2 linked regions of the Rhinolophus ferrumequinum genome follow. The protein of the gene in region 2 purifies or fractionates together with the protein of the main gene of each other region. This does not show direct contact. Links are inferred from orthologs where the notes say so. Each region holds a gene or a part of one and is shown on either strand. Other genes may lie near its edges.

What was found. Proteins that work in one complex are often made in the same cells at the same time.
Region 1: the proteins of ATP2A2 (region 2) and CANX purify together in Homo sapiens (co-immunoprecipitation; 3 studies listed by BioGRID and IntAct, with this or other methods). This does not show direct contact. The link is inferred for Rhinolophus ferrumequinum from reciprocal best matches to the Homo sapiens genes ATP2A2 and CANX.

What each region holds. Positions count from the first base shown.
Region 1 is NC_046307.1:2,866,764-2,874,848, forward strand, and holds the start of CANX (calnexin), read left to right. Parts: upstream 1-5,069; 5' UTR 5,070-5,253; intron 5,254-7,971; exon of another isoform or gene 7,972-8,085. Other genes in the region: CBY3 (protein chibby homolog 3), read right to left, coding at 4,485-4,784. UniProt on the Homo sapiens protein: Calcium-binding protein that interacts with newly synthesized monoglucosylated glycoproteins in the endoplasmic reticulum. It may act in assisting protein assembly and/or in the retention within the ER of unassembled protein subunits.
Region 2 is NC_046308.1:6,031,968-6,039,771, reverse strand, and holds the start of ATP2A2 (sarcoplasmic/endoplasmic reticulum calcium ATPase 2), read right to left. Parts: upstream 3,073-7,804; 5' UTR 2,535-3,072; coding exon 2,417-2,534; intron 1,705-2,416; coding exon 1,687-1,704; intron 1,588-1,686; coding exon 1,505-1,587; intron 1-1,504.

The sequences.
Region 1 (8,085 bases), on a different chromosome or scaffold from region 2:
TGGTTTGATTCCCACATGGGCCAGTGGGCTGTCAACAAGGTTGCCAGTTCGACTCCTCAAGTCCCACAAGAGATGGTGGGCTATGCCCCCTGCAACTAAGACTGAACACAGCACCTTGAGCTGAGCTGCCGCTGAGCTCCCAGATGGCTCAGTTGGTTGGAGCGCATCCTCTCTACCACAAGGTTGCTGGTTCGACTCCCGCAAGGGATGCTGGGCTGCGCCCCCTGCAACTAACAACCGCAACTGGACCTGGAGCTGAGCTGAGCCCTACACAACTAAGATTGAAAGGACAACTTGACTTGGAAAAAATCCTGGAAGTACACACTGTTCCCCAATAAAGTCCTGTCCCCTTCCCCAATTAAAAAAAAAAAAAAAAGGACTCGTGTACAAATGTTCATAGTATCATTACTTATTATAGCTGAAACCTGGAAACAATCTAAATGTCCATCAGCTGTTCAATGGATAAACAAAATGTGGTATACCCATGTGTGGGGGTCCAGAATGAGCCACCCCAAGAAGTGCCTCAGTGGTATACAGAGTACTTTGAGCTAAAGGCAATTTTAGCTTCAGTCTCAGAAACTTCTGCCCCTCTCTTTTAACTACCTAGAAGAATTTGAATTAGAGGCCTTGTCCATAAGCGATTATCAGAAATAACTTCTTTTGACCTATCTATAGGGCAGGGCAGACTTCTATTTATTGAGTGCCTGCTCTTATCATCCTGCAATGACCCTTTGAGGTCCGGAAGGCACCTTACATCATCCCTTGCTCAGGGTATCTTATGTATCTCAATCTCCCTTTCTATCTCTGAACCTCTCCTGTATATGGGGCTCCTATACATATGTGTGCTTTAAATTTTATTTTCTCTTGCTAATTTGTCTCATGTCTATTTGATTATTAGACCAGCTGATAGAACCTTGAGGGTAGAGGATAGTTTGTGCCTCCCCCACACATGCAATGGAATATTGTTCAGCAATAAAAAGAAATGAATTCCTGATACATGCTACAACATGAATCAACTGCAAAAACATTATGCTAAGTAAAAGAAATCAAATAGACCACATATTGTATGATTCCATTTATATGAAATAAAGAAAAGGGAAATCAATAGACGGAGAAAGCAGTTCAATGGTTGCCTGAGGTTGGCTAAGAGTTGACTGCAAATGGGTACACAGGAACTTTTGGGTGATGGAAATATTCTAAAATTGGATTGTGATAATGGTTGCACAATTCTATAAATTTACTAAAAAGTATTGAATCTTACTTACAGTAGGCAAACTTTATGGTATGTAAATTATATTTCAATAAGGTTTAAAAAAATGATGTAAGGTGTTAAACAAAAAACATTTCATGGCCAAAATCTTTTCTGAAGGAAGGGGTTTATTGAGCCAAAACACTAGTCAGAAAAGGACCAGGTCCTGCGCATGCACTCTGAATCACCAACAGCAGGGCCAGACGGAGAAGGCAAGATGTCTACAATCCTGGGGTAGATGGGCTTTTATGGAAACAGTTTGGGGAAGAAACATGTATGTTGTTTTGAAAGAATTTACATTGGCTTTAGATAAAAAGAGTGGGAGATGGTGACGCGGGAAGAGTTCTGGGTTAGGTGCAGAATCTGTAAGGAAGACATGTTTGCTCCTTTAGACTGATGGTGGGCAACAGTCCAGAAGGTGTAAGCAAGAAGTACTGGTGACTGGACATTCTCTTTAGATAATTGTACAAATAGTCACCTGGAAGTTAATTCAGTTTCAACATATACTCAGGAATGTAAGCAGTTTTGTTGGTTTTGCCCTGCAGTTGTTATTTGATTAATCGCTCTTGTCTCTTCCTTCCACCCTTTAGTGTGCTGTAATTTAATTTAGGACATTTCAGAATTTTCTCCTTGTCAGAGGGCAGAATACAGACAATTTTAGATGTGCAAGATTTCAAAAAAACTAGTACACAGTCTTTCTCAGGAAGCAGCCGGAGGACGTAACTACCAACTGAGGTAGTAGACCTCGAAAAAGGTTATTAAAGGAAAATTAAAACATATGTTTATACAAAGAGTGGTACACCATGTGTATGGCAGGTTTATATCATATAACCAAAAATTGGGTGCAGCCGGGTGTCTATTACCTGATGAATGGATAAGCGAACTGTGGCACATTCATAGGATAGAATATTACTCAGGAATTAAAAGCACAAATGATTCAAAAGCAACAAATGGCATACTTGTACAACAGAATGTTACTCAGGAATTAAAAGCATTCAATGTTAACATAGATGAGGATCTGAAAGGTGTTGCAGTTTCTTTCCCTTCACTGGATCTTCAATGGCACCTTTGTTAAGCTCAACAAAACTTCAGTTAACATGCTGGGGGCGTGGAACAATATATTGCATGGGGGTACCCAAATCTGAGGTCAGAAATGAATGGATCTATAAGTGTGGTTATGGCAAAATCAACAGGAAGTGAATTGCCCTGAGATAACACTTAGACTGTTCCGTCTCATGGTAAATATGGCATCATCTGCATGGAGGATTTGATTCATGAGATCCATACCGTTGAAAAACCTTCAACTTCCTGCGGCCTGCAAATTATCTTTTCCAGGAGAAACCGGATCGACAGGTTTATTAGAAGGATGAACTGAGATGATTACCATGATTATTTTTGTAATTTGGTCAGTTAATAAACAGTGACTGCTTTCAAATTGAGAGGAGAGGAGAGGAGAGGAGAGGAGAGGAGAGGAGAGGAGAGGAGAGGAGAGGAGAGGAGAGGAGAGGAGAGGAGAGGAGAGGAGAGGAGAGGAGAGGAGAGGAGAGGAGAGGAGAGGAGAGGAGAGGAGAGGAGAGGAGAGGAGAGGAGAGGAGAAAGGAGAGGGGAAGGGAGGAGCGGGGAGGAGAGGAAGGAAGGAAGGAAAGGAAATCTTATTTCTGTCCTTGGAAGTTTGTCCTTGGCTTCCGCCTTTGAAACATTATGCTTTAGCTGAAAAATCCCTGGCAGGATCCTTTGCAGGTCTTCCAGTCCTGCACTGTCTTGAGCCTGCTGTGTCTTGAGCCCAGACCCAGGATCCCCAGGACCAGCCAAGCATGAATTCCCTCTTTTTGGGGGCTCCACACTTCACCTCCCATCACTTAGGCTCACACTCTTTTTTTTTTTTTTAAACTTTTATTTATTTGTGTTTTTCCAGGACCCATCAGCTCCAGTAGCTGTTTCAATCTAGTTGTGGAGGACACAGCTCACAGTGGCCCATATGGGGATCAAACCGGCAACCTTGTTGTTAAGAGCACTGGGCTCTAACCAACTGAGCTATGCGGCCGCCCTAGGCTCACACTCTTAGTGTTGGCTTTGGTTGCTCTTTCCCTAGCCCCTGAATGCAATGGACCGTTCTTTAGCATCGACAGTTAATGCTTTTGTTTCCATAAACCTACCATTTCCTAATCCTGCACTTTAATCAACTGCAAAAAGTGGCTTCCTACCCAGCTTCACAGCTGCTAGTCTGTCTCTCTTTCAGACCTCCCTGAAATAATATTAAAATAATAATTCAAAAACAATCTAAATTGTGATCCAAATCTAAAAACTCTCCCTACAAATCCTTGGCTAGGCCTTCAAGGTCTGCTCCTAACCAGCTCTGGAGCTGACTTTCCTGAGCACCTTTCTCCAGTTCAAACACTTCCATACATGGTGTTCCCAAACACACGATACCCATTTTCCTGCCTTTCCATATGCTGTTCCCTCATCTAAAGAAGCCTTCCTCCAACTCTCCACCTATAGAAATCCTGCGTATCCTGCCAAGCCCAGCTCAAGTCTTACCTATTTCCCTGTCCATTCCAGGTGAAAAGCAGTTCCTCGCAACTCAAAACCCCACCAAATTCTGTTTAGTACCACCATCTTTTAGCATATACCTTTGCTGGAGTAGCTGTTTTGCTCACATACAGTTTCTGTAACTACATTTTAAGCTCCTTGTTTGGAACATGTGGCATCCAGAATACTATGCTGCCTTGAATATCCACTTCCCCGAGTAAACAAGAAAGCAAAACTCCCTTACGCAAATTTGGGGGCTGGGAGTTTAAGAATATTAAACTCAAGTAAACATGCAAACACCACACTCTAACACCTCTTTTCCCCTACTAGGTGGCATGAGGGAATAAAGCTTGTTCTAAGATAGGTAATACACCTATTGATTCTAGTTTTTTCCATTCTAGGAATCAGCCTCTGGGTATCCAAACAAATGGAAGGCAGAGACCAGGACCCATAAAGGTCTAAGAAAACCTTAGGCTACTTCCATTTCCTGAGGCGGCATATTGACCAGTGAAGATGCGCTAAAAGTGGGCTTCAAAAATTGTGTGTTTGAAATCTTTTACCATTGCACCATCCTTTTCTCTCAATCCTGTCGGGTGTCTGTTGTACTAATTGTACTTCAGGAAACATCACAAATTGAAAGTTGAAAAAAACCTTGCATTACAGCATTCTGGACTCTAGTTTTCCATGGGTAAAGTGGAGGCCGCACTCTGCTAGGCCCAGAGCGATGACTCTGCAGGAACGGTGACGCGTGGTTACACAGCGCTGTGCAGGCAACTGCAGGCCGTGCGGAAGGAGCCGGTGCGGGTTCCGCCTGCACCCTGTCCGGGCCTCGCACTCGCTGCAAGGGGAAATGGCCCTTCCCGATGGTCCGCCAGACCGCCCACTCCTTCAGCCGCTTGCCATTTGCCCCCACAGCGAGGGGAACGGCATGCCGGTCCTGGGGCCCGGATCCAGGAACCGAAGGGTCGAAACTACCTTCGGTTGAAACGCCCGGCAGTCTGCCCATTAAGACACCAGGGCAACGGGGCGCGGGAACGCCTGCCGGGCGGGCCCCGCCCCAGGGCGCGCGCCCACGGTTCCCAATCGGCCGTGGCCCGCCCCTTCCCCTCCCGCCCAACCAACAGCCACTTCCTGTCTCACTCCCAGCCAACCCCCACACTCCACGAAGAATAGCCCTAGGGGGCGTATGGGAAGGTGATTAGAGCGATGGCCACACTGACCAACCGCATTCCGGAGCTGGCGCGGTGGGGGCGGAACTTGGCACTAGCCGTAGCTACTCAGGAGCGAGGGGAGGACGTGGGGCCGGGTTTCGTGCGGCGGTGCTCGCTCGCGAGGTGCAGCGGCAGCCTAGGCCTCTTGGTTCTGCGGCACGTGACGGTCGTGCCGCCTCTGCTGCTGTCTCTCCTGCAGCGTGGGGCCAGGTGTGCGGGCAGGAGGAAGTGCGGGCGCCGCCGGCGGTCTCGGGGAGGCTCGAGGTGAGACTGGAGGCCTACGGGTGTCTTAGGGCCTGTGAAGACCCCGGGGGCCTTGGTGCGCGGCCCCGCGGCCGAGGGGTCGGGCGTGGCCGGGGCGGAGGGGTCGGGCTGGGTTTCGAGGGCTCAGGCCCGGCCCGACGCTCGGCTCCGGCCGTGTGGGGCGAGCCTGAACCTGGGCCGCCTTGGTTGGGGAGCCAGGCGCAGGCCGCGCCGCTGGGGTTGGGAGGCGTGGCAGGTGCCCTGAAGCCTACCTCGACCTCAGCGAAAACCAGCTTCTTTCTATGGCTTTGCTTCCAGGGCTTTCTCAGGCCTTTTGCTGGCTGCCTGAGAAGCCTCGAGGTGGGCTGGAGTAACCGGCTATAGATCTGGAGTGGGATCGGGCTTAGTCACTACCCTTAGTACTGGGAAAGGTGATATCGGACCGACAGACAATATTTAGGACTAGTGTTACAGGTTCAATATTTGAAAATAAAACCGCAGGGCGAAGACTGGCTCCTAGCACCCTGAAGAGAATGTGCTAGAACACGCAGTGGTTGAAAAACTTGTCTTAACATTTTTACCTGTTAGGGGGTGGGGTGTAATCCAATCGCAAATTCACCGGACATTAAAAGCAGGGAAGCACCCAAAAGCTCACTGTGGGCAGGTCGTTTGATAGTGGAGGAACAGGCAGGCCCGAAGCCATGAAATGACTGGCCCAAGGTCATGCAGTTAATTTTATGATCACATTGGGATTATAGTTGAGGGCTAGGCAGTTTTGGTATTAAGGTTAAGGCCCTGTTGCATGGCCTTCATCAGCCGTTTGTTGCTGTGTGAACTTGGGCAATTTACTTACCTTTTGTACCACGTTTCTCCCCAAGTGATGGGTATACTAATACCTGTTGGAGTTATTAGAATTAAATTAAGATGTGTATAAAATAGGACAAAGATGTCTGATACATACTAACTACACAGCAAATTACTGCAATAAATTATAGTCTGATGCTGTTGGTCCTCCACACTGACAGACATCCTACTCTTAAAGTTGGTTAAGTCCTGTTTCCCAGGGCCTGCAGTCATATTTATGGCAATGAGAGGAAAAAACTGGACCTAGTGGATCAACTGCTAAGCATGACACTGAATGCTGGTTGAGGGAAGTTAAACTGAGCTGAATATTAAAAGCTTAGGAGGACAAAGGTGAGCCACAGTTAAGTCTCATTTAGGAAATGGAACATTTTGCTTGATATTTTTAATAAGTAAAAGTTTTTTTTTAAAGGGAAGAATTCTGTTGATATTTAAAACCGTTCTGTAGCTTAGTCTTTTTCCAGCAGTGTCTGAGGGTCATGAATAGAATCACTGCCATGTTGTACATACGTTATAATTATACTTAGAGCAGAGGTAAAGAACCGTGGGAGTTCTGTGCTCCAACCCCGGTGCACAAGCAAACAAGCCGGGTAACGATCATAGAAAGGCTAGGGTGAACTGCACTGGAGTGAATGTATCCTGCAGCAAACATTTTCTGACCTGTTTGAAAATGGGTGTCAGCATCCCTCTACACCTGACTATCTTATCTTAACTCAACAGTTTCAACTAGCACATTATCTTCAAGGACCACGAGCGGTAAACGTTTTGACAAGTTGTTGCTGCAGTTTTGGCAATCAGGCTATTGCATCCTTTTTGTTACAGAGTTCACTATGCCCCGCAAATAGCTTAAAGGGATGAAGTGACAGTTGGTAAGCATCAGTGCATGCTCAAGAGACTTGTATTCCAGGCCCAGCATGGGTAACTAGCTTATGAAATACTTCGGTTAAACATCTTTAAAATGGAAATGAGAAGTCTTCTGTCTACCTTACCATTAGGGGGCTATTGGGAGGGACAGCTAGGATGACGAACATGAAATTACTTTGAATAGTGTAATGAACTGTGCAAACAGAACTGGCAGCTCAGAACAATTCCTAGGAAATACTAAAAGTGCCTGAACAGAGTTGTAAACTATGTGTAGCTTGCTGTTGAACTTTGTCAGGAAAGTGCTGGTTAAATGCTTTGTTTACTGCAACATAATGTACTTTTAAATTAAGCTTAATACTGAGCTATGAAAAGTATTTGGAGAATTTTGTTTTCTAAAGAATTTAGACGATCTTCAGTATATTTTGAGTGTTCACATCTTAAAGCTATGTATTTTATAACGAAAAAGAATGTACTATGGAAAAATCAATTCTCATGTCTGAAAAACAAAATTCAAAACTAAAGGTAGTATGAATCTCTTTTTAAATGGATGAGCATTTACAATAAAGACCACTTGGAATTTTATATACTTTTTCCCCTTTAAGTGCTTTTGTTTTTTGACTAGCACGTGGTAAAATCAGAAGGCACAAAAGGGTAGTAAAAGTAAAACAGTTTATCTGTGACCGGAATCAGATGTCTTTTAACTGCTTCCTTTCTAGTCTAAGATTGAACAATTTTTTATTTGCCTTAAAACTCTAGAGCTTTAGAACCATTAAAATTTAAATGGCATCCCTTGGCAACCATAGTAATAGAGCTCACTGCTGGTACTGAGCATATGCTGTAAGCTGGGCACTTTCGTAAGTGCCTCCCATGCATTTTGTTTATACCACAACCCGAAGAAGTATACAGTGATGTTATTCTCATTTTAGAGTTGAAGACATTGAGGCCCTGAAATGAATAATTCACCCAATATGCCAAGTCACTACCTAAGGAGTTGATGAGTTCCTGCTCATAAACAATACTGTGTGTCTAACCTGTGTCCTTGGACAGTTTGTGTGACTTCTCTTAGTCTTAAATTCGTCCTGTGTCACATGGGGATGATAGAACCTCCTGGGATTTTCGTGAGGATTA
Region 2 (7,804 bases):
CCCTGATGACCGTATTGAACCCCAGTATTTCAACTACCAGAGCTGACAGTTTCAGAATTACGTAGCCAGCTTAAATATAAATATTATACTAGCCCAAATATGTAATTTGTTTTGCCCCACGACAATATGTTGAAACTTATTAATCAAACAGATCTACTCCTTTCTCTTAATTGGTTAAAGCAGCAGTCATTTACTGGCGAGGAGGTTGTGGGGTTAAATTAATTCAGAACAGACATGTAAGAGGTATCGAGTGATTAATTCAGGATGTTGAATGTTTGATACATCACTCTATATTTTATTCAATGAATATCACTGAAAAGATTCATAAGGATTGATTAATAGTTACACATCCCTTGGCTAAAATGGCAGATTCTCATGGCAGTATCTGTGTATATAATTACTCCAGAAAAAGTTCACCTCTTCCCAATTTTTTTCTCACCTAAAAAAATGTCCACTGCTTCCTTTATTCAGTTCTCAAAATAGCCCTCTATGGTATGGTTGTCAAAGACTGAGGTAGATCCCTGGTTGCATACATACAAACATAAAAACGAGACCTTGAAGCTGTGTAGGTTTTGTGAAGCCTGAAAAACGTATTGCACTGGGTGAATTTCGCTTCCAATCATGTTTTTATAAGAATAAAATATTGTAATTTAAGAACAAAAGGCATCTCATGCTGTTAGGATTAGGAACATCTGTGTCCTATTCATGACCATTTTTAGGAAAACTACCAAGAAGTCCATTGCCCAAGAAAAAAAGGCAATAAAAAATATTGAACAGAAAAAAAATGTTAATAACCTAGAAATATCCTCACCAACCCCCATCACCTTTCTTCTCCAGTAGTTCTTTGCATTTCACCAGTTTCTTAGCAACCATACAGGACTCAAGCGGGCAAGTATATACAGAAGAAGAAAAAACACAATTTTTTTTCTTCCTCTTTTAAGATCTAGAACCAACTGTACTGAACCTTGTTCTCTTAACCTAGGAGTCACTCAAGACAGGGGTCCAATTTAGATAAATATACCACCCTAAAGGTCAGTGACCAAATTTGGTCAACAGTGGTGCCATCACTGCCGTCATCATTCTTGTCACTGTCAGAAACTGTCACCTTGCCATTACTAGGACAGGAGAGCAACTGGAATATTCCTTTTGTAAGTTCTATTTACAGACTACAAAGAGCCCAACATCATCTTAGTATGATCTTACACAATTGAAGAACCCGAAACAGAAAAGGCCTTCCAATAAAGAACTTTTTGTTATTAAAAACTGATAAACCACAAGAATTTGTAAGACCCTGCCACATTCAGGAATAATTTCTAACTGCACTGTAAATATCAGGCAGCCATTTATTTTCTGTTCACGAATGGCTTCAAGTGTTTTGTTTGTAATTTTAAAATATCTAGGTTTGGAAAAAAAAAATGGAGACACAGCTTAAACCTCCAAATATAATGTTCTCACCCGATAGACATTATTTATTTGGAGAGAAAATGAATTGCTTCATACTTACAAAAGATATACATGCTGCCAGCAATAAAATTCTAACTAGTAAGTCTTCAAACTGCTCAATCACAAGTTCCAGCAAGGTTTTTCCTATTAGAAACAAACATATTTGTTGTAAATGTCATATTAACTTCAGCACACAAAGGGAGGGGGTGGAGGTGGAGAATGGGACATTTTAAGATTACTTACCTTCTTCAGCCGGTAACTCTGTAGAATGTAGAAATTCGCCAAGCAACCGTGTCAAGAGGGGGGAAAAAACATTTTAGCATTCTGTATTTCTAAAAAAGAATTGCTAAAACTTATCAATCTTTGAAAGACGTACCTAGATATATATACATTCTATCATTTTTAATGGAAACCATACTAAAATGGTACCCCCCAAAAATATGCAATACTTGTAACCAATGGCCTTAGGTCTACCCCAAAGCGTAAAATCTCATTGCCATCTAAACAGGGATCCCGAAACAAGGAGTCATTTCAGCTATGTCATCACTTCTGCCAGATGTGTAACTTTGGGTAGTGCAAGAACGGTCAGAGGCATTCTCAACTACAACGACGCCTCATAAACAGGCTGGGACGAGAAAATGTCTCGCAGGACTCAACCCAGCTTCAGGAGACTAGTTCCTCCCTCCACCAGGGCCGGCTGCTGCTGGTGACAGTCACGGAGCTGGCCGCGTGCGGGGAAGGTCAAGGTCTCGAGCCGCGAGGACATCGAGAGCAGGCGCAGACCCGATCCGGAGCCCCCCGCATGCTGCCCCTTTCCCGCCTGGCCGACGCGCGGGCTCGACCCGCCGCCTGCAGCCCTCGGCGGGCTCGGAGCCGAGACCCACGAGGTGGGGCCCGGTCAGCCATCTTCCCTGGCTCTCGGCCCCGCGCCGGGCCGCGCGGGGCCCCTGCAGCCCCGGCGCCGGGCACCTACCGTTGGAGCCCCATCTCTCCTTGAGCTTCTTGACCTGATCCAGGCTCAGCCCCGTGCTCTCGTTGACACCGAAGTGGCCCAGCACCTCCTCTACGGTCTTTGTGTGCGCGTTCTCCATGGCTGCGGGGGCCTCGCCTCCCGTCCCCGCGGCCTCCAAGCCTCCGCCTCGCACTCGGACAGCGGGCTCGTGCCACCTCCGGCGCCCAGGCGCGGACTGGCTTCTCCCCCTCCTCCTCCGGCTGCTTCCGCCTCGCGGGGCGCTGAATCACCCCGCGCCCCCTCCCGCAGACAACCGCTCCTCTCGCTGCCTAGCCCTCGCCGGCGCCCACCCCGGGCTCAGCTGGGCGGTGGGAGCTCGCGACTCTCCTCGTCAGAAGGGAGGGTCTCCTTCGCCCTCAACCGCCCGCCCAGAGTGCAGGCCGCGGCCCCTTAGCCCCCTCCCCGCTCTCCTGAGGTGATTCGCGGCCCCGCCCGGACCAGAGGAGGGGGCGCCCGGCCGACCCCTGAGGGCGGAACGAAGGGCTGCAAGCCGGTGGGGTGGTGCACAGCGCGCTCGCCCAGTTCCCTCAGCTCTACTCCCCCGACAGCGGCGGAGGAAACTGCGGCGAAAGAGAAGGAGGTGGCGTCGGGGACGGCTCCGCGGCGACTGCTCTAATAGCATTTATCCGTCGCTGCCTCCCCTCTCGCCGCCGCCGCGGCATGTGGACGCCGCTCATTGGCCGAGAGGGCCCAGCGCGGCGCGGGCGGCGCGGCCCCGCCCCCTCCCCGGCTCCCTCCCTCCCGCGCGGCTCGCGCCCACGCTGCCACGCAGGCCCCGCCCCTCCCGCGCACCGCCCCCCGGAACCCGGATCGAGGCTGCTGTGAGCGGTGCCTGCACAGTGTGCCCTGTGGTCCGCGGGCTGACGGGGCGCGAGCTCCGGCCCGCTCCTCCGCTGGTGCGGCCTTAGATCCCCAGCCGCCCAAAGAACTAGAATCCAGAAGGGTGGGAGCCTCAAGGTGGGCTCCCTGCACTCGCTGCCCGGAGGGAACTGCCTGCCCTTCAGGGTCGGCCTCAGGCCGGGGTGCATGGCTGGGAAGGCGAGGCCAAGGAACCTGGGAATTTGGTCCGCACAGGGCTCCCGAAGCGCGCTCTGGTTGGTGTCCTTGGCTCGCCCCCTCGCTCTCAATCTCCAGGGCCGCACTCTGCATCCTAATCTGTCTGCTTCGGAGCCCCGCCTCAGTAACCAAGGGGAGGAATTCCGCAGTTCACTTCCCACAAGGCCAAAATCCCTCATCTGTAGCCTCAGGAACACCACATCCCACACCCACAGCTGAGGGCTCCACGGCACGCAGACATCAGCCTTTCCCCAGCGGGTTCTGGGCCCTGACTGAGTTAATCCCACTCTGGGGAAAAGAAGGAAGGTTTTGTTTTGTTTTGTTTTGGAGGTTTTCTTTTTAATAGCCCACACGGCCTTCGATACATGCCTGCGTAGAAGACACAGGTTATGCTACTGTACCTGCTGTGTAGCAGTGAGATTTGTACTAGAAGGTGCTTCTCTTGGGTATTAAGATCAAGGCTATTTTCTAGACTCCCCTTTCCCCAATAGGCGAAAAAGGGTCTTTAATCCAAGACCTATTCTTAATCCACAGATGATTTGCCCCTGAGATCTGTACAAAACCTAGGTAACAGCAAGATAAAGGGAATTTCCCAATGTAAAGAAGTTAGACTATTTAACAGGGCTTGAACTCATGAACAAAAAGTGAACATATTCGCATCACAAAGAACAGCTTTCTTAAGGAAGTGTGTCGCAGAATGAAGCAGTTAGTCCACTTTTGTGTTTGGCAATACTGTACCATCCACATGAGCCAAAGCAGAACAAAAATCACCTCAGTTGTCCCAGATGGCTCAGCCTCAGGACTTGAGATAAATTCCTTCAAGAGATGCAAATTACAGTGCATTACCCAGATGAAAAAATCAGGCACGTCATTTCATTATTTCCAAGGAGTGGAGGCTGGCATGCAGTTTTGATTGATACTTGGAAAAGGGCCAACAAAACCCTACACGAAACAAACAAACAAACAGAAGTCTAGTGTATGGCAATGCATTAAGAGAAGCACGGTGGAAACTGGTTAGGTCACAGGATTGGAGCCTCCTCCAGGAGGGACCGGGACTGTATGGTGGGGGTGTGGTAATGGAGGGCTGATGGTTCCTTTCCCTCTGAGACCAGGTCTGCACCATTTCTTACCAGTTCTTCTGCCTCATCTCATCTCTTTCAGCAACAATGGAAGAACTATAGGCAGAGGGGATCATTAACCTTTCTCATCCCAGAAATTACCTTGGGTATTTGAGTTTGGGTCTCTGTTCCAGGGCTGGGTCTCTGCTTAGTGTTATAAGCACCTCTGGTGTGATTATGAGCTTCCTGAGGGGTTCCCTACCTCGGCTTTTGTACTGAATGTGCTTCCCCAGATCTTTGAGTGCCTCGTTTCATCTTTTTCAGATCTCAGCTTGCATGTCACCTCAGAGATGTCTTGGCTGACAACGTGGCTACCCGCCCCAGTCACCCTCCCTGTCATGTTTTTGTTTTCATTGCTTCACAGCACTTATCTCTGATATTGTATTTTTGTTTAGCTGTTTACTGCCTGTCTCTCCCTACTGGGATATAAGCTTCATGAGAACAGGGGCTTGTCTAGCTTGTCCATCCTCAGGACACAGTACAGTTCCCGTTATACACTCATCATTTATTGAACTCCTGTGTGAATGAAACAGTCCCACCATCCCTGACCTATCAGTGACTTGCAAAAGGCCTTGCCTTGGGAATGCCTCAGCAAATTTTTGCTGAACTTAAGTTCATTGGTTTCCAATTTGTGAAATCAACAGGAACTACTTGCCTCATGGGAATGGTTGTAAAGGTTGGATTTCAAACAAAAACAGAGTTAGGCAGCATTATAGGTTTCTCGGAGATAAGTAATGTAGGTTCACATTGCTCCTGTAACCACATTGTCATCACTCTTCTAGACTGTTCTTTGCCAGTCTTTTCTATACATTGGAAGTCGATATACTCCCTTTAACTGAAACTGTGATTTTTAGCTTGGCTTTGGCCCCTTCTACATCACGTGCCAATTATGCACTTGGTTCCTCAACCTGTTGGAGTCTCTGACACGTGTTGTTTCTAGGTTGCCAAAATTAAGCATAAACTCAGACTCCCACAGGCAGAAAGATCTAGTCATTCCTATGTAGAAATAAACCTATGCCCAGTTTATTTTATGAACTACCTATGCTTCTCGTGCAGGTTAAACAGTAAGAATGGGTTTTAGAAATACTTTCACCAAGGATTGCAGTTACAGTCTATTAATTGAGTACAGGGAGAGGAAAGAGAAGAGAAACTGTGATTCAGAAAGATGGATGATTTGATCAAAGAACCTGAAAGGAATTGATAAAGGAGGACGTTAGCTGGTAATAAGCAGGCGAGTTTAAAAAGCCTGGCAGACAGAAAAGGCCCAGTAGAAAGAGTGACTTTGTGAAAAAGGCCAGAGCCAACTTTCCAATCCTCTATAGCCCTCCTGTAAAGCGATGGAGATTGCAAAAGGCAGTCTGTTCCATATTTGGACAGCTCTGATCATGAAAGCAGTCTCATTCTGGGCTGCATCCACCTCCCACTAGCTTCTCCTATACATTGGTTCTTGTTCAGCCCTCTGGAACAATTCTGAATAAGTTTAATTCCTCCTCTGTGTGAGATCCTTTTAAGTATTTCAAGATATCTATTGCGCTTTATAAAAGTCTCCTCTCTCAGCTAAAAAGAACAGTGGTCCCTGAGCTGTTCCTCCTGTAGCAGGAGTCTGCAACCCCTCAGTATCCTCCTTGTCCAGTCCTGGAGACACCCAATATGGAACACAAAACTCTAGGCAGTCTCGCAGTGGAGTTATCACTGTCCACCTTTGTGCTGGATGCTTGCTCCTCACACCATTTATTTGTGTTAACAATCAACTCAACACTGAGTTCTGTATATATAAACTGCAGTCATGTGAAATCTTCCCATTGTGTCCTTGAACTGTTGAATTTTTTTTAACCCAGGCACTGAACTCTGACTATTGTGTTCATTTTGGCCCATCTTTGCCGTTTGTCGTGGTCTTTTGGAGTCTTCATCTTCAAGTGATGTTTTAGCTATATGTTCTGGTTTGGGTGACACACAAATTTGATAAGCATGACTTATGACTTCTATGTCTTTACCCAATAGAACTTCTAGACATTCATTCCAGATTAGAAAATAACCAATCACCTGGATTTAGTTGTTCAACTGCTGTACGAGTTGTGATCAGATAATACGGTGAATGTTTAAATAAAAAAATTATTACAGTAAAAGGCACATTGCCATCAATCCTCCTCAAAATACTCCCCCTCACTTTGAACATGGGATAAGTCATCATTCTTGCCACTTTCTGAAGCAGTTCTGGAAGTCCTCTTTTGTGAGTGCCTTGAGTTGAGCTGCCATCGTTGCCTCGATGTCCTGAATTGATTCAAAACGTTTACCTTTCACGGTCATTTTGACTTCGGGGAAGAGCCAGGAGTCGCATGGTGCCAGATCTGGTGAATAAGGTAGATGAGGACACATTGCAATGTTTTTATTTGATAGAAATTGCTGTACCAGAAGCGGTGTGTGACATGGAGACTTTTCTTTGTGATCACAAAATATGGTGAATGCTGTTGCCAAATACCATCCCACGGAAAGGCAGGGACCTTCAATACAGGAAGCGGTGCATTGAACCTTGGTAACTGTGTGTGACGAGTTTCAACTTGTTCAGTCTGTCAGATGTGAGCTATGGTTGTCAGAAGGTGTGTTTTAAAGTGTGCTGTAAATCATCCTCCATCATGACAACTCTCCGTCACACATCACTTCTGGTACGGCAATTTCTGTCAAATAAAAACATTATGGTGTGTCCTCATCCACCTCATTCACCGGTCTGGCACCATGTGACTTGTGGCTCTTCCCCAAAGTCAAAATGATTCAGGACATCGAGGCAGCCATAAAAGAGCAACTAAAAAGACTCTCACAAAAGAGGACTTCTAGAACCGCTTCAGAAAGTGGCAAGAATGATGGGCTAAGTGTGTTCGAAGCGAGGGGGAGCATTTTGAGGGGAATTAATGGCAATGTGTCTTTTACTGTAATAATTTTTTTCATTTAAATATTCACCGTATTTTTTGATCATATCTCATAAATCAACTTCACCATAGGTTCCAAAGTCAGGAAAGTGAAAATCTTATAAGGCACTCTGCCGCCTCCTTATCTCCCATAATACTTTATTATACAGCATTAGAACCGACCATTGCTTTGGTTGAGCACCTGATGCAGCCAGCTTAAGGATTATGTTACAAGAAAAATACATATTTATGTGCTAGATTCAGAACTGGCA